Styela clava: one gene and its partner. The protein of the gene in region 2 purifies or fractionates together with the protein of the main gene of each other region. This does not show direct contact. Links are inferred from orthologs where the notes say so. Each region holds a gene or a part of one and is shown on either strand. Other genes may lie near its edges. The genes, in order: microprocessor complex subunit DGCR8-like and ribonuclease 3-like.

Region 1 (10,161 bases), on a different chromosome or scaffold from region 2:
TTATCTGATACTAACATCTCAGGTGCCTCTATTGACAACTGTTGAAAATGAATTGTCATTTGATCAAATTGAAGGATTCGATACATTAAACATGAAAAATATTTGAGAATAATAAGATTAAATACGGTAAATATACCATGAGTATAAATTGACGCCCGGTGAAATAAATAGCCCGTCTCTAGTAAAGGCATAACAACATACATTGCGCAACAAAACAACAACATTGCAAACTGCTCTCTGGTCAATGACCACATTTGGTCATGTGCTTGCCCCCTGTCCCTAGGGTAAATTTACCCCAAGTTGATAACCCTGGATTATAGACAATCATAAATATATTTACTCACCAATAACTTCTTGCAATTCGTACTCATCTTTGCTGATAGGCCATGGAATTTCTTCTTTCGTTGAGGCCATTAACAACAACAACAACCAAACAACAATCAAGAGAATCTCTTCCCTGCACTTCAGACGTGCAAAATCTAACTCTTCCTTACACTAATTATAGCAATGCTTCAAAATACAAAGTGACATTAAGTGAACAGCTAAGCCACAGTAGCACATAGAAAAAATAGCAAAATGAAATTTATTGAAATAGCTAGGCCTTAAGATGTAAATTACAGTATGTAATGTAATTAGCCCATCTTATTTCATTTTGAAGAAAAATTTATAAATAGCATTCTTAATTTGGCAATCTTCATGAAAAACCAATTACCTCAGTAACTCAGGATATTCTTACTGTATTGTACTCGGGTTTAAAAATGAACAGTGCAATTAAAATTTGAAATTAGTCTTGTGTGAAGAAGGCATTTATTGGAAATTTAGATCATTAAATTTCTTTATTTTCAGTGAAATTTCCTTGAATACGAGCAAATCATTCTTTCTATATAGATTTACACAGTATTTGAAAAAATCTTTTATTCGAAATTATTATTATTTCCTTGAAAAATTTGCACTATTTTCTGAGTAAAATTTGATTTGATTTCAAAATCGTTGAAAATATTGCAAGGCAGAAATTTGAGAAAATAAATTTTCAAATACAGACATCTCTATTTCAAGTCGGTTTGAATAGAAAACAAATAATCACATTATTCACATACATAGAAATAAAAAGACATGATTACGGATCCTCATTCGAAAAAAGCCATTATCAATGATAAGTTTGCAATACCTAAAAATATGGAACGATTAAGTAAAAAAATCAACAAATCTGAAACGTTCGCATATATTCCAAGAAAACAGCAAGGAGTTATGGAGCTGTCAGTCAATAATTTATGCCATGCATACTGAAAAGAGCGTTTTATATAATATTTTCATAAAAATCCTTTTTTTCTTGACGGTGAAAAATTTAGCCTACACCATTGTAAAATCAGATTCATAGGTTCGGTGAAACATGTTCGATACATGAGGACCTATAATTGCTAAAATACTCTACTTCGACAGAGTTTAAAATGAATTCATTACAATATACTGTTGAAACTAGGAGATCGAGTTATGAAATAAGCACCCAATACTTCACTAAAACCCCCATCACAAAATTTCTGAGCATAAGAAGTAGGCTACATAGTACAATATTCTGTTTAACTAATATGAATCTATTTACTAAGTAAATAGCCATAAATGCAACATTTTGAAAGTTATATGATTGTTTTTACTCAAAATTATTTACTCAAATCCATTTCTATTGGTATATTAAGCATTCCTTTCCCCGCTGCAACTGCTGCTTCCATTGGCGTCAATTTTGCTTTTTTCGCTGTCAATGCATTATCATTATCAGCTTTCCTCTTCCCTCTATCCGATTCTAATTTAAACATCATTTCTTGTAATTTAGCGAGCAATTCTGGGTTAGGTTCGAGAGAATCTTCGCTTTTCTGTTGTTGTTTACTCGTACTTGGTTCTTCCTGCTTCTCTTCGACTATATTTCCTCGTCTTTGTTTGAGATCAAAAATCTCCTGTTCCTCTCGTTTTCTTCGAGCTCGTTCTTGGGCGAGTGAAGCTCCGTATAAGGTAATCAATTCCATCCATGTTTTTATTTCAGGGTGTAGTAATTGTAAGATTTGTTGAGCAGCCATTTGTTTTCCAATTTTCTTGTTTTTAGCGACTCCGCTGACAACGTGTATTCCGCATTTCATAGTATAATTTAACGATCTTCTTTTTCCCTGCTGTACGTCGTAACTTACTGTTGTGTCTGTGACGCCTTGGTTTCGTTTCAAGCACTCAGTAAGCATTTGGTATGGAAGTAACTGTCCAGTATGTATACATAACTCGTAGACTCTGGAATCGGTAATCAAAACGTCATTGAAATATGCCATATCTGGAGTTTCAGCAGCGCCTTCTACTTGTCCTTTAAATCCTGGTATAAGCATTTCTAGAGTAGCAAGAGCGGCTTTATTTTTGGCTGTCTTTTTATTAATCGCAACTGCTGTTCCATATACTTTTCCATTCAGCTTGATCACTGTTTCAAATGGTTCGGCAGAATCTTCCCGAGTGTTGAAAATATAATTGGGCTGCACTTTCAAAACTCTTTGTGCATATTCATGAAGAATGCAAACCATTGGTTTTCCGTTAGTATTTAAAACGAATTTTCGATTTCTGGTTGTACCATCAGGGCCTACCTCTTGCTCAACTGTTAACGTGATAAGTTTTCCGGACCCGGGTTTTCCGGTATCAGCATCTACATCTTTTGAAGAATCATTTTCATCATTTTCTTCCAATTTTTTTCTTCGCATATTTCGTGTAAAGTCTCGACGTTGTGACCACTTTTTAAATCGTGGTATTTTTAATGTTTCAAATACAAAACGTTTTTCTAAATATTCTTTTAATTCTTTGTCTTCAATGCACATGTCGCTTTGATCGTGAAGAATAACTTTAGGTTGAGAGACACCATCAAGTTGACTTTTGTCATCTGAAGCTGTATCTCCGTTAGCATTCTGCTCCTGCTTTCCTTTTACCAAATCTTCCTGCTCAGTGTCTTCGTTCGAATTCTGAATCTGTGATTCTACATTACTTTTCAATTCGTTTAATTTTTCTAAATTTTTTTTATAATATAGACACGGTATACTTTGAAGTCTTATTTTATGTTTCCCTACAAAACCATGCAGCAAAGTGAACGGTCTCGATAATGTAACAACTTTAGTCTTCTTGTGTAAATATAACGGGATACCAGTTGTATGAGTTAGAACTACCCATCCCTCGGGTAACGGCTCTGTTGATGCCTTCGGGGAAACATGTTTGAGCACAGTTTTGTATTTGTAACCCAGCAATCCTTCAGGTTGATTTTCTCCGTTGGCATCTTCACTATTGTTTAGGTTGCTACTTGGCAATTGTCCATCTGTAACCGAATACAAAAATCAGATCAAAAAACATTACCAGGACAACCATATTCAGTAGTTTATCAAAAATTAAATTGCATTTGAGCAGATTCACAATAATCATGAAAAAACCGAGATATATCAGACGATTATCATAAAATAATTTTTATAGAACAACCTATTTAGGAGCCCATGAAGCCCCAATACAAACAGACAATTAAATCCTAACTCTGTGAGTGGCACTGAACAACTTTTCAATAAACAGATCTAATATAAATTTGAAGTTTAAATGTAATTAAAAATGAAGTAATAATATTCGATTACCGGTACCATTGTTGAAAAACAATATGAATTTCATAAATTTAGATTCTAGTTGTTTTCATGTGCTCGAGAAACATAGTACTGTAGTACAATTTACCATAGGTCAATAAATTGATCGAATAGTTCAACTGCGATTGATGAGAGGGGTTCATTTTGGTACAGCAGTAGATGATGCCAAACGACATAACATGGAAGTATATTATTATAGTTGAATACAACACAATTCAGAAATTATTTGATATTTTAATTTTCATTATAATATTGCACAAAACCCTGAAACTTCAATTTTATAAAAAAGCAAAAGATATTGTTATAATCATATATAAAATCACTAAATAATTTTTAAATTATTCAAATATTGACCTGCTACGTTATTCTCAGTTTCATGAAGTTCTTCATCTTCATATTCCTCGTCATCATGATCAGAATCATCCATCATTTCAACGTCATCATGCACGGATTCTTTTTTAATTTCAACTTCTTCTTCCAAACCTGACCCATTTTTCACCTCGGGTCCATTGTCATTTTGTATTACATCAGACATTTCACTTAAAATTCTCAAGAACTGGGGTTAAATTTTATATAAAAATATTGAAGACTGACAGCAGCATGTTTTCAGATGCAGTGCAATTATGCCACTTGGAAAGGCATAATGAACTGCATCGTCAGCATGTTGCTTTATCCAATAGCATGGTATACCGTACCGTAATAATTACACCAAAAAGCGACAACTAACAGACTAAGGGACAGGCAGACAAGTTTAAAACTGCCATGGTTATTCTGCTATTACAGCATTATTCTATCACAGTAACACTATTATTATAATATCAGAATATTGCACCGCAAGTTAGTCAGTCGAAGTTGGAATGAAAATAGCACTAGCCCGTTGATAAGAGTTAGATGACTCACATTCACACATACTGACTCTGAGTGTACGATACAATTTCCGAAAGCATATTTCATCGCGTTATCAATTGTAATGCGTGCCAATCCACTAAGTCACGCATATGTAACCTAACCAATGCAATATCCTATAAACCAGGTCGCAGCCATCCGAAAGCATGTTTCGTCATCACTCGCCAATCTTATACCTACCTACAGATGAACCATGAAAAAGCGAGGAAATGAAATGCCCGTCCCCACCTACGTTCGATATATGGGGTTTGGAGAGCTGGCTTTACATCGGCATATTATTATGCTCTTCTTTTCTCCTGTAATAACTATATAATAAAATTTACATATTTATCCCGGGAGAGGGGGGGGGAGCCGATAAAAGCGCCTAAACATATGGCCTCTCGATGCTAAACCCGATGAAGCCTGCGAGGAGTGTTTAAAATATATACGTACAAAAGCAAACTATAACGGAATGCTGGCCTGAGAAACGTGTACTACCGTAAATATGGTACTACACATGTACAAACAGACTGGAGAGCGGAGAATAAATCGTTTCCAATTTCATCCAAATATTTTCACTTTGATTGGACGAAATTATCCGTATTTAAGTTGATAGCCTTCATTTTATACAGCGTGTGTGTAGTACCCCCACTAAGTAAAATTGATCAATCTGAATCCCAACGCAATTATATTGCAGTCCCCTCGTGAGGATATTTGGAAATGATAATAGCCGTTATGGTGATTGTGACAAAGTTGTCTTTGGTGATCAGATTGAGAAGCATAATATCCGAAAAGTGACTACAATGACGCGTATAGCTGTTTGGTGTTGGATCGTGCAAGCTGGGCCAAAATTGGTAGACAGAGATATGAACACATTGAAATGGTACCAATATAAAGTTGACAAATATTCAACAAGACATGTGTATTTATACGATGAGAATGAGATATGGTCGTATGGAAACGTGCCTAACTCTAGTGTTAACTGATTGTATCCATCTAAATAATTCAAGATTCAGAAAAAATTGCATATCTCTGGATTTGTCTGGCTTTCATCAGGGGGATATGCCAATCTAGTGAGTCGGATTAATTCATCAAAAAGGTCAAACAAGATTATTTCACACGAGATCTCAAAATTAGCCATTTCAATCATCATAGTAGCCTAATAATTACTGAGTTTGATACTGAAGTGTTCTCTGAGGTAGTGCCTGGAACGGGTGGTGCGGCTTGGAAATAAGGAACCGGGATAAATATGTAAATATTATCCTAACAAACAAAATGATGGAATATATGCCGTACGATTAGCTAGATTTAACGTTAAAGTTTATACCACGAAAAAATGATAACAATAATGATAGAGAGACGAAATCCAACCCTACTGGCGTGTACATGGTGAATGTACGGTAGGCCATCATTCAAGATGAAGTTCGTACACGAATATTTACGGATGCAACAAATAATGCTGACTCGAGATGGCGATAGTAAGCTTTGAAGCAGACTGGCTTTCTGGCCAAAATCAACCGGCGGAAAACCGACGTGGTGACGATTTTTCAGCCAAGTGTGTAAGATCACTTTTGAAAGCAATTGAATATAGAGGAATTTCAGAAAACTTTTCAATCTTCGACTACTGAATATTTAAATATGATAAATAACTATACCAGCACTATAAAGATATTTTTTTGAAATCACACAATTGAACTTGGAGGCAGTTACTGCTGAGTTCACTATGATTAAAAGATTGACGTTTCTATGTCTCCTGGGAAAATGATCAACTTCAGTTGTATTCATCACTTACCACAAATCATAGTTAAATAAGTTTGACGCCGGCAATTTATTTATATGGGTTCATGAGGTTGCTGCTTTCGGTGCGTTCAAATCAATGCGTTTCACTACACAGTGGAATTCGTCAGTGATTATTCAGAAAGTATGAAAACAAATAAGTTGATGGAAACGAAATGGACCAACAGTCAACAATCATTTCGCTAACACGAGTAACATTGTAGGTTCATTGAGTTGTTTGTGCAAGTGACTACATGTTTGCTCCCTATCCAAACTAGACAATGAGTGTAAGAGGATTCGAATGCGTTATTTTCTATTGGCCCATTAAGACGTCAACAACAGCCAATTTGTAGTAAACACCTTAAAAGTTTTGAGTTACTACCGTAATAGTGAAAATTCCCGGTATGTAAAATGATTTACTGATTAAAGCACATAGCAGACATGTGGAAATCATCAAATGAAAAGCACATCGTACTGGGCCACAATAAAAATCGTAAGCAAGGAAGGGAATTCAGTGTGTACCTTTATATTAATAACTGTCCAGTAGGGAAATAATTTTTTCACACAGTTTAGTATGGTAAATAAATTTTGCTTACTGGCCCAAGTACGATTGTAACTTGACCATGTTTGATAGGGAGAACTTTCTGACTATGATTTGACTCATCTTTGTCGGGGAAAGTACTGTCAGTAAATGCTGCATTCAGCATTGTGTAGGTTTTTAAATCTGTTGGGAATCATATATTGCCTGTGAGGAAACCAAGAAATAAACAACCATTTCTTACCAAACTGACCTTTTAGAGTTAGTGCATCTTATGTAACGAATTCGAAGAAAGGTGTTCCCTGAGGATACCCTATAACTTTATCTAGTGTAGTACTTGAAGGTGCACCCGGGGACTTTGTCGCACAAGGCTAGGCGACTTGACATACAAAATTATTCCATTGGTTATTCGAATTTTTTATAATACTGAATTACGACGGTGAAAAGCTTAATAATAGGTACTCCCGTTGTGTGTGTACCAAGTTAGGGTTAGGCCACAATTTATTTCCGATTTTCCTTATTTTAGTTACATGACGAGTTCGGGGACTGTCTGTGTTAGCCAAGTGAACATACCCACTGCCCATAGGTTTCAGTCCCTTTACATTTACACAACTTGATGTAAAGTAGGCGAACAAAATTAGTTACCTCCACATTGGTACACACACTTCTGAAGCGCATAATTTTGTCATAATAATCCCTACGACAGTGAAAAGCCTAATAATATATATATTCAATAAATGCGATACTTAATGTTGTATGCGCACATAAACTATCATAACGCGGTCAGATTTCCAGTCGTACGTTTTCAACGGATTTGATCATTTCATGTAAACTTTTCGAGGCGGGTAAATGATAATTTTTTAAAGATTGATATTTCGCTACGCACAGCCTGGGAACCACACCCCAAAGTGATAAATAATCCAAATCATCGGTGAAAATAATAAGACTAAATACACAACATATATACTAATTATCTCTAACTTTCTTTGACAATTTGAGAGTTGATGTCACCAGTATTTCTCTCGTCATAGATTTTTCGCGGGGGACTAACCGATGCCAATAAAAACTTCGTAGATTTCGAATCTATGGTGTAAGCCAAGGCATGACTCCGATATTGCAACTTCCAAGTACTTTGTTGCTACATAAATACCACGGTGTTATTTTCTTGAAATCACATTTCCACCCAAGAACCCTGTTAACAAAATGACTAATATAAATTCAGTGAGAAGTACTTTATATTGCTCGCATACAGCGCAAAGAGAGAAAGGAGAAAACAGCCACAATTAAGAAAAATCAAATAATAAGAATTATATTCAACCAAAAAATTATTATCAAATAACTGGTGGTGGAACATAGAGGCCTGTCACAAGAAATCCTGAATTTATTCATCGAAGACCTCAGAGTAATAAAAAAACATCCACATTTCTGTCATTTGATAGTAACTTTTAAGTTGTAACAGTTTTCAATCGTAATAATAATAATGATAGAGATATCAAATAGCGTAAAGAAGCATGTGCCAATCAAAGCAAAAAATAATAATACACGATAACTATGATTAAAATATAAAGAACGAAATTGGAATAATAATTGTTGGACCTTGGTTACGTCATAATAAGCAATAGAACTGTCATCTTCAGGTTAGCCAAAATTTCACCGACGACATTTTCATTGGCCAAAAATAGCACCCTGCTTTTGGTGCTTGGCCATGTTTGAATCGATGTTCGAAAAATGGGCATGTCTTCAAGTTCAATCTCTTTGGACTAAATCACCGTGAAAAATTAGTAAATGTTACATATTTTTGACAGTGTTTATCATTTTAATATTGCACATAATGACGTTGGTTTTATGCAACAATAAATAGAAAAATGGAATGTGTAATAATCATTGTATTCAAATTTTAAGTAACCCTTCTTGACTGTAACTGTACTTCGAATCGAATTAAACTGTAATTCTATCTATGAAGGTTCATCATTGCCTTACGAACGATATGCCTGATACAATGGCAAATAAGGAAATTAGTTAGTATATTGGCCATTAAACTCAAATTAAATACGTGGTAATATAGCAACCAACCATTCATAACATAGTGCGGGCGACGGAGGCAGGAAGTCGGTATGATTCAATATGTTAATGGAGCTGATAGGTTTTTACAGAATCATATGTGGCCTCACATAAAAGGTTATAAATATCAATTGGTATGATAGAGTACCAATGGCCGAAGATAAAAACTTGAGTTGCGAAACGTATTATATTATGAGACTGAGCGTTCAGTATAACACGCGCGTTAGCCAAGCGGGCGGAAGTGACATCACGAAGTGTTCCTACGCGCCCACACTATACACGTTACCATCTTGACAGTGCCGAAATAATTAACAGTTTTCTAAATATGGTTAATTTGAGTTTATATATCAAAAGATGACAAAATTGAAAAATTTGGCATCCCTCAAGTGATCTAAGGTTTGCTGAATGATTATTACTAAATAGTGAACGACAAAATATTTCAGAATTTTGGAAAGAAAATTTTCCCACTGGACGAATTTCCATCCCTGGCATTTATAACGCTTTTGGTGAGCATAACGCATAACTGCTAGTCATTGGGTTTTGGGCTTCGATTGGCTAGTCATTGGACAATCGATACTGACTTACAGTTCGCAAGCTTTTTACAGACCCTGGTATGGGCCTTAAATATCCCGCTAAGATTAGGCGCAGATCACGTATGGCGCATACTTAAAATAACAATTTTTTAATCAAATTTCCTCCTACAATTTCATATTTGTTTGGTAATAATCAAAATGTTTTTATTATTACGTCTGTTATCAGTTGATAAAAAAACATATTTGGCGCGGAAACGGTGTGCCTATATGGTGGTACATATTCAATAATTATCCATATCCATTTTGGTATTTTTTACACGGTTAGAACGCTCAAAACAGTTGGTATCTTTGCGCTTTCTTTTAACAGTTTGGTCCAGAATAGAACACAAAAAACCATATGTATACCAAAGTTAGACACAACACTGGAACAACAGCACGGGTGGAATTCATCTAGTTGTCACAAGAGATCGAATCATTACCATGGCTGAATGCGAATAATTTAATCTTGGCCTGGCATGTATATATAAAATATTTTTATTTTCAAATTTCTGACATTTGTAACAATTTTTTCCAGTTTTCATTTATTTTTTATTTTTGCAAATTTGTGAGTATTTGACCGTTAAGTACTCGGGAAAGTCATATTGTGCCGTTTCAATATATGATTGATAATATACAATTATGTAAAGGCTTTGGCTTCATTTCTGACAGAATTGATAAATCACGCCGGTGT
Region 2 (10,049 bases):
AATGTATAAACTTGATACGTCATACATTTCATGTTAATTTAATAATATATTTATAGCTGCTTACCCAATATACTTCAGCATCAAGGTGCTGGCAAAAAGCATTGCATTTGGATTGGCTATGCCAAGCCCCGCAATTCTGCTTCCAGTGTTTCTTGTTGCCTAAAATAAAGATTTTCTATTATTTTTAGAGTTAATTTTTTGCTATTATCCTTTTGTTGGAAGAAGTCACATTTACAATTGTATTATTTTTCATATTTAAATTTCTGAACCCAATGATGACCCACCCACTTGCCTAACTCTTGGTAATACAACTAACCACCAGTGAATGTCAACATACCGATTCAGAATATTCTCATGATTCGAAGGAGAATGATAATTTGTGTGTAAAAATCAGTGAAAAATGTACTAGTTGTTGAAAGTAAGAATATACTGATAGTTGAGATTACTTTGCCATCTGCAAAATGATATTATTTCTTTGTGACATTGACAGAACAAAAATATTAAATGACCTCCTCAGCTACTTACAGGCTCAAAGACGCGATATTCATCACCAATATTAGAACCAGCCACCATTCCTGGACCTCCAACCAAACCACAACAAATGTTACCTGATAAAAAATATGATAAATCCAATTATATAAACTGTGTCATGACGATAAAAAAAGACTGAAAAATCTATTCTCTTGAATAGGTTTTTTATTTAATTAGTCAAATTAACGCATTTCTTTTGCCAAATGAGAATGGTTGAATATATAAAGAAATAAATCATCACAAAATTTATCACATATATACAACAGTTTCTGAATACCGGTAGTACCTGAATACTATGCAGTGGATAATGCCATATATATGCTTCGATCAAGAGTTCTCAACTGCGAGCAAATTTTGCAAGCAAAAAATTTACACAATTCCCTACCGCATGAATAGGCTACCGGTTTCATTTCAGCGCATCACCAGTTGTGCAGTTGACCAATAAAATTGCAATAAAATTGAGATTGCAATGTCTTCTATTGCATAATATACGTTTTCAAACTAACTATAGGAAGACTGTCCAATCCGGTACCACTTTTGGATACGTTACATACTGCAAACTGAAATAGCATACTCCAGATGTTTTAAAATTAACCAAGGAGTAAAAGAATAGGGTTAGAAGTACTGACTCGGATGATCACTCAGATATCTAAGAATACTGTAATTTCTGTAAATAACGGATGGGAAAATAGTCTCACCAACTATATTCCCATACAAATTAGGCATGACCATAACATCGAATTGCTCAGGTTTTGACACAAGCTGCATTGTCGTGTTGTCAACGATCATATCATTGAATTCAATGTCAGGAAAATCTCTGGCAGTCTCTCGACAACATTGTAGAAATAGTCCATCTGCTAATTTCCTAAAGAAAAAGGAAGATAACACACTCAATGATTATTACTTAAATATTGGTATGAATATTGGTCATGAATGAGTTTTTTTATCATTGACCAGCCATTTATAAATACCTCAAAATAAGTGCAACGTAATGTGGACTTCATAGATCTGCATATGTAGCAGCCATAATGGTTTACATTTTATTAATTTTATGCTAATAAAATGAAATATTCCTTCCGAAGTGTTGTGAATTGTATTACAAGTGTACATGTGATGAGCGTTCTAAAAGTTCAGGAACTAACCTAGCAACATTGGTGGAATCAAAAATTTGTTGCGAATACAGCTAGAACAAGATGTGATCTGGCATCCTACATGCATATGCATCAACTGGGGTTGGTAAGCACGATAGATGTCAATCCCAATGATGCCCATAAAACTATTTCATGATATCTGAGCTGTTGTGCCAGCATGCCTATAACATATATCCAGTGGTTCTGTAGGCAGAAGATAATGAAATGCTTACATTATGTTAGCTTTATGAACAGCGGTAATCTTCTTTCTTTTATTTCTCCTCGCATATTCAAATGCAAACTTAGCAATTCGATATGATTTTTCTGCTGTGATGATTTTCAAGCTTTCTACAACACCTGGCATACTCTGAAATACAATATAAAGCATGTTTGAAATTTATACAGGATGATTCAGGAAAGAAATCAAAGATCAAAGTCAACGCTAAATATAATGTAATGAAAACAGAACATCATATCAGTCCTTCCAAAACAGATATTACCATACAAGACTAGTAAGACTGTTCATAACAATACCAAGATGTATTTGATAAGACAAAATGAGAGAATAAAACTTTGTTTTAGTCAAAGATACCGTATTTGCAATCAACTGATGGGTACAATATGCCCCATTAGCAGATCTTATTGAACTTGACGATATTTCAAGCATTTTTGAAGGGAGAAAAGTCTTAACAAGTACATTCATTGTAATGATATATTAAATACGGAACACTACTGGCAATGGGCTCACAACCATATTTTAGATGAAAAAGAGAGTTATGAATAGATTTTATACACCTAAATCAAACTCAACCATGTATCTGACTCTAAATGAAACTATAGTTTCCTTTTAATAACTCAATGTCCCTACCTCATGCTCTAAACTTGAATATTCTCCCTCTGTGTTTTCTCGAATAATACGAATATCAACGTTGTGATTTCTTCGACAAACGTCAGGAACAGATTTCACCTTCAGCACATTAGCAAACAAGTCCAGTTTTGTCCTATAAAAGAATTACCAGCAGTAAGTGTTTGACCCAGAACAAACATACCATATTGGGTTCCTACATTCAATCAGGATATATCCCTAATATATTGTAGTATATGTGTTTGATTAAATACATAGTATTTCAGTAGAGTGCAGATGGGGCAAGACCAATGACAATCAAGTTGAAGAATTTTTCCCTTCTGCATTTTAGATTTAATATCGCCAAGGTGCTCCCCTAATTATTCGACCCAATTCATGTCTTGCTCGGGAAATTGTTTAAAGAAACTGAGTTTGAAATTTGCAGCTATAACCATTAAACAAATCAAAGTGAACAACCTTATGACCATGTTTGCTGATTTCTCATCAATATCCATTTTGTCAAATTTGGTATCAATGTTTCCTGTAAGTATAAGACATTTATTCAAAATTTAGCATAAAGATATGATTATTGTTGGTTTAATAAGGGAAGCTGTCAGCCAGTGGAATATGAAACTACAACAGTATATAGCCTAGCTTTTTTGATAAAAGTTTTTTTAATAACTCCACTTTGTGAAATCACCCAAATATTTCCCAGACAGTGAAGATTTCAATTTTTTCAAGTCTTGTGTCAACTGATTTATATTGATAAGTTTGTCCCTAGAGTATATATATATATATGTGGCTCTCGAGTCTATGTGACAGCGGAGTAAGTAAAATCTTTTGTTTCAATTGACGGTTCGATACCTTGCTAAAAGCAAGCTTGGCTGAAAAAAATTTCTCCAAATGATAATGTGACCGATGAGAGATCATAGATTTTAATTAACATTTCCACCATATTCGTAACAATGATTCACAAGTAAATTAGTGATAGTGCTGACATAAATTTTGTAAAGCTGTACGTGCCTTTGATGGCAACTTCATTGCGCTTAATCGCAATAATTGCCTCCTCAGTATTTCTTTCCAAACCTTCTGACGAGATGTCAACTTTCTCAAAATCCACTGGAACACCTGGATTGAAACAATAACAGTACAAATAGATTAATATTATATACAACCATACATTTCTATCATTTTTGAATATCATTAACCAATCTTAAATGATAGAAACAATATCCAGATATCCAAAATGAAACATTTGATTCAAAATAGTTATATTGAATATTTTAAATTTGGTGTAGGAATAATTTAGGTATTTATATTAGAATGGAAAAATTATCATATTGAGCAATTGAAGTATCACATTATGACATTGTCGCAAAAAAATCTTCATTCAATTCTGAAAACTATAATAAATTGAGAACCAATCAATCATTATTTATTCAAGTTTTCCTGTATTTAAAATTTAATCTCATTCAATAGACTTTACCCTCTATGTTTGTTTTGTTGAATAAAAAGATGCAGACCTGGTTTATCACTGTTTTTGCACGTTTTTTGAGTCAGACACCCCAAAGACACACTAAAACAACCATCAACCCTTACCAGCAGTTGTAAATACTCTTTCAACAGACTTCATGATTTCAGGGCCAATTCCATCTCCAGGAATCATTGTTATAGTATGCCGCCCACCATATTGTGAAAAGTTTCTTAACAAAGAACATGATGGTCTGCAACATTGAAGTGCCTGAAACACAAATGAATCTTTTATACATATCAAGTCAGCAAAGCTGACAGTTATTAAGATCAACTGTATATATATAATCTATCATCTTTATGATAGAATCTAACCCCTTTACGATTCTAACTATTGAGTAATACATTTTTGCATAAAATCTGCCATTCCTTCATGTGAAACTGCACATGTGGTAGGAAGAACTAGGATAGGATAGGATTTACATATTTATCCCGGGGGAGAGGAAAGCCGATAAGACGGCTTATCCATATGGCAAACCACGGCCTCTCGTCCGGTTACCATTCCAAGTCGGGTATGGGATTAGTTATATTGTTTGTTTTCGGAAGCATGGACTTGGTGGTGGAGGAAGCCGTAACCGACCAGCGGTTACGTGAACCACCCAACGACGGCGAGGAGTCCAGCAATCGGGTCTCATGTAGTTTCTTACCTAACATACTTCTAGTGGGTGTAACATGACAATTTTTTTACATATCAATCCTAACCCCCACCTGACCACACCATCCAAAAATTACGTCACTACGACGTCACAGTGACGTAATAGAGCCCTTCAAACTATGCGAACAGTCATCCAAGACGCGCAGACGAGAACCCGAAATCGAACAGCTATTTCTCTCGTTTTCTCGTCGCAACGATCCCGATAGGAGAGAGGTCGTTGACGTCAGTCAGTTCTTTATCGTCGGCGCCGATGCTATTTCGGGCGATCGTACGAGTATTTGGCAAGCTCTATGACGTGATTGTGACGTCGTAGTGACGTAATTTTTGGATGGCGTAGTCAGGTGAGGGTTAGGATTGGCATGTCAAAAAATTGTTATGCTACGCCTACTAGAAGTACGTTAGGTACGAAACTACACGAGACCCCAGCAATCCTCTCGCACATAACCATCCCTGCATGGGATTCGAACCTGCGAACCCACGCAGAGTAATTAGAGGTGCGGTGGCGAGCGTATTCCTAACGCTTAGCCCATTGAGCCACACCGTCGCGCCAAACTATTGTTTTTTGCAAAAATAAAATCTAACGTGCTAAGAGTTATTAGTCTACAACAGTACAGAGGATGAGTTATTGCATTAGATACTACAATTTATTTGACATACCTTGTTTAAACTTTTCTTCCCCGCCATACCCAAAAATGAACTTGAAACAATCATCTTCGATGCCAGAAAACAGAAACAAACCCAGTCAGCAAACACAGAGTATTGAAAGAAACCTGGCGCGAGTACAAGACGATTTAATAAGACAATAGGAAGAAATAAGATGTTCAACTTTAACCCGGTATTTATTCAAGGACTAAGAAAAAAATAAAACTAAAATCTTTTTTACTTTCTTTCCTTGGGCGGCGTAAGCATAATTACAGGGCTTAAGTTAACTCATAATTGGTCGCAGTTACATGCGGTCAGCGGCGACGTCTGAACGTCGGTTTTAGATTCAATTTGTTGTTGCAATGTCGTGAAAAGAAGACTGGGCGGCATAGTTCAGTAGTTAGAACGAAGATTCATAACACAAAAGGTATGTAACTCGTATTTGTCTAGTCGTTATACAGTTATATACCCATGCCCTTAGTCTTAATAAATCTCTGGGAAAGCAGTTTGATACCTAAAAAATCTGAGAATGGTATTTCGTTGTCGTTTGCATGTGCTGATGTGGCTTGAAAGCAGAATCGATATTTTTACCTGTGAGTGATAGCCTGATACTTTTTAAAAAAATATATAAATGTGTCAATTTGTGCTCATGTCGGTCTGACAAAGTCTGAAAGTAAACGCCACAAACCGCTTGAATAACACCAAACAAAAATGTGATATGAAATTTCTATATTCTTCGAGAAAATAGGTGCATAATGAAATTCTTGACAGACGCGCTTAGTTCTGTAGTTAAAATCATTTCTACTCAATCTTCAACAAAGCAGGTAGGTCTATGTCCCATACTAAAATACATATTATAGCATTCTGCATTAAACAGACTTTTTTTTAAATAATGAAAACATGGGTGGTATTTTTACATCACATTTTGTTTGGCGTTATTTCAGCAGTTACGGCAGGGCGTTTATTTTGCGAGACCTCTCATGTCTATTACTTGAAATAAAGCGAGATACACTGCTGAGATACGATGTCAGAGTTCCAACAATCGAAGCAACTAGTACATCTAGAAATCTTGAGCATCCTTCTTATTTATGTTACTACAGGTTCTTCTTTATAAAACTGTTAACTTCAAGATGTATCCGAGGCATTCATTCCCACATGATGGCCCTCCAAGGCCACCACCCTCACATTGGGATTCAAGACCTATGCATTCGAATTACCCACACAATATGGGACCAGCATATCCTTCTCAGCACCCATATGCTCCTCCACCCCCAGAGTACATGCCACAATTCCAGCAAAATGCACCTCCACATGTCGAACATCGCTACCCTTACCCACCACATGGTCCCCATGCCGGCCATCCAAGAATGACTTACCCCAGACCACAAGATCCTCATGCGAATTTTGGAAGACCACCCTTCTATGAGCCACAGATAAGGCCTCCTGGCCATTCTAGAGACAATATGCATGGAGATTTGCTTCATCGTCATCATGATATGAGACATACAAATGAGAGGAGAGAACGAAGACATAGAGATGGTTCTCATGGAGATCGCTACCATGAAAGAGAAGTCAGGGGATCACCCCATCACAGGAGTTATTCTTCAAGAAGTGATTCTGGGCGAGATTCCCCAAATCCAAGGCGTGACGACAGAGATGAAAAACCAAGGCAAGAAAATAAAACATTGCAACCTGGTTTCATTTGGCGACATTCTAAGAATGAAAAAGAAGATCAGGAATACAATGAATCAGAATACAGTGCAGAAAAGATAGAAGAAAAGTTAAAATCACTGCAACCGAGTTATGTCCAGTGCACCCAGCATGCCCGCTATTATGGTAGAACAACAGAAAACGATTCAACTGTGAAAGCACTACCATTGTTAACAGAGCTTTATGATAAATTTGAGTCTGAGCTTTCTACTAGACATGCAAAACTATGGAAGCCAAACGAGATAATGGAGGATCCCGAAGAAATAGGCAAAACATTAGAAGAACAAGATGAAAAAGATAAAAGTTTTACTTTGTCTCAAAGACTCGAAAACTGTGACTTTAGTCAGGAATCTTTACCAAGACAGAAAAGAGTTCGAGCAGCTGCTATTGTTAGAAGGTTGGAAGATTCAGCAAGAAATCAAGAAAAACCTCTTTTAAAATACATTGAAGAGGACAACCCTAAAGTTCCAACTTTTGCTTTAGCAAAACTCAAAAGAAGGCTTGAAAGATTAACTGATAATATGAAAGAGTCTGATACTACATATGATAGCGACGGAAGCGATCCAGAGGGAGAATTTGACAACGAAGATTACTTGCAACGGGCTGGGGAACTGATCAGTTCTATTCGTAAACTCAAGCATCATGAGAAGCGTCTTCATAACGAATTATGGTATAATGACCCTGGTCAAGCTAATGATGGCCCACTCTGTCGATGCGGAGAAACTGCCCGCAAGAAAGGTATCAGACATAAAATCTACCCTGGTGAAAAACCACCCACCGGCTGGAAAAAGAATTTTAATAACATTGGTAAAATGTACAACTATCTTGTTACAATCAGTCCTCCTGTAAATTATGAGTCATCTGATCCTACAACTATTCAATATGATGGCAGAGATTATGTCTTCGAAGGTTTTTCCATTCTATCTGATGAACCACTGAGCAAACTACCATATTGTGATCTGATTCGATTTCACATTCGGTATACAATATACTTGATAGAAGAGCCAGTTCCTGAAAACTTCTGTATAAGAGGTCTTCAACTTTTTTCAGATTACTTCTTCAGAGATATTTTGGAATTATATGATTGGGTTGATATCCCAAAGTCATGCCCTGAAGAGACGAACACAGAGGTTCATAGAAAGTTCCATTTCTTTCCTCGCTTCGTGAGACCTCTTCCAGATAATGGTAAAGAAATTTTATCATTATGTGAAGTTCTTAGATATTTACTCTCCCATAATAAACCTTTGATAAGTGCGAATGATTTGACACATCTTATGAATTGTGACCACAGGGAATGGTTGAACTACACAGATAAAATCAGAGGCATGATCGTTACATTCCCTGGTTCAAAGCCAAGCTCACTAAGAGTAGATCAAGTGGATCGTTATGACAGAAAATCCGTAGAGAATCCGGATGTAAAAAACGAAGATCAAGATGATGAATATCCATTGATCATCCATTTCGGAATTCGACCTGCAAATCTAAGTTATGCAGGAGATCCACAATATCAAAGAGTGTGGAGATCATATTTGAAACTTCGTCATTTAATGGCGAATTCTCCGAAAGTAAAACAGTCTGACAAATTTAAACTAAAACGAAGGGAAGAAGCATTACAAGAAATGCGACGTGCAAAGGTGATGCAAAGAGAAGTTACAGTTGAAGTAAGCAGTAGGGGTTTCATGAAAACTGGAATATTTTCTGACATTTGTCAACATGCTCTTCTACTGCCTGTGTTGACGCATCATGTCCGATATCAACTGTGCTTGGCAACTTTGGAGAAACAGATCGGATATGAATTTAAAGATAGAAAATGGCTTAGTCATTCTATGAATCATCCCAGTTGTCAGATGAATTTTGGTTCTAATCCTGATCATGTTAGGAATGCTCTTTCAAATTGTGGCTTACGGCAACCCAAATATGGAGATAGCTCTATTCATTATAAATACACACGGAAGCGGGGTATCACGACTCTCATTAGAATTATGGCAAGGCTTGGACAAAAACGACCCGTACTTTCACCTATTGAGCATAACGAAAGATTGGAGTTTCTTGGTGATGCAGTCGTGGGTTATTTAACAAGTATACATTTGTTCTTTATGTTTCCGGAGCTTTCTGAAGGTGCACTTACGACTTTTAGAACTGTGATTGTCAACAACCAGCACCTGGCCCAACTTGCAGAAAGAATGCATTTGGATGAATTTATGCTGTACGCACATGGACCAGACTTATGCCGAAATGCAGATTTACGTCATGCCATGGCGAATTGTTTTGAAGCTCTTATGGGTGCAATATATATGGAAGCGGGTTTGGAAAAAGCACAAGAGCTATTTGCAAAGTTTTTATGGGATACTGATCAACTCCAAAAAATTTGGTTGGATATCCCATTACACCCTCTTCAAGAAGAGGAACCAGAAACAGATAGACAGTATATTGAAAGCGTGCCGATCTTGCAAAAACTGACCAAACTAGAAGATGATTTAGGATTAAAATTCACACACATCAGAATTCTAGCAAAAGCATTTACATGGCGTAATGTGCACGAGAACGTTCTTACACATGGTCACAATCAAAGATTAGAATTCCTCGGTGATTCAATTTGCAATCTTGTCACATCTACATATCTATTTGAGCTGTATCCAACCCATCATGAAGGACATTTAACTCTACTTCGTGCAACTATGGTGAATGGAAGGACACAGTCCATGGTTGCTACTGAGCTTGGCATGCCAAGGTATGTTATCACCAACATGAGCAGTGATCCTTCAAATACAGTGGGAAAACCAAGAGCTCCAGATTGGAGAGAAAAGAATTTGGCTGATCTTCTTGAAGCGTTTGTTGCTGCATTGTACATTGATAAAGGACTGGAATATGTTAAAGGTTTTATGCAGGTAAAGAGAATATTGATTTCTATTGTGAAGTGCTTTAGCCATTAATCACGTTACTCCACGTACAAGCAGCCATTGATACGCAAGGAGCAACTATTTTCAAACAAATTGAATATTTTCCA

What was found.
Region 1: the proteins of ribonuclease 3-like (region 2) and microprocessor complex subunit DGCR8-like purify together in Drosophila melanogaster (affinity purification with western blotting; 4 studies listed by BioGRID, with this or other methods). This does not show direct contact. The link is inferred for Styela clava from reciprocal best matches to the Drosophila melanogaster genes drosha and pasha.

What each region holds. Positions count from the first base shown.
Region 1 is NC_135250.1:22,755,997-22,766,157, reverse strand, and holds microprocessor complex subunit DGCR8-like, read right to left. Parts: upstream 4,546-10,161; 5' UTR 4,174-4,545; coding exon 3,993-4,173; intron 3,329-3,992; coding exon 1,659-3,328; 3' UTR 511-1,658; downstream 1-510. Other genes in the region: serine/threonine-protein kinase OSR1-like, read right to left, coding at 345-414.
Region 2 is NC_135258.1:12,022,785-12,032,833, reverse strand, and holds the start of ribonuclease 3-like, read left to right. Parts: upstream 1-5,569; 5' UTR 5,570-5,759; intron 5,760-6,432; 5' UTR 6,433-6,462; coding exon 6,463-9,930; intron 9,931-10,049. Other genes in the region: isocitrate dehydrogenase [NAD] subunit gamma, mitochondrial-like, read right to left, coding at 65-159, 526-608, 1,230-1,396, 1,895-2,028, 2,530-2,662, 2,983-3,046, 3,529-3,633, 4,105-4,246 and 1 more.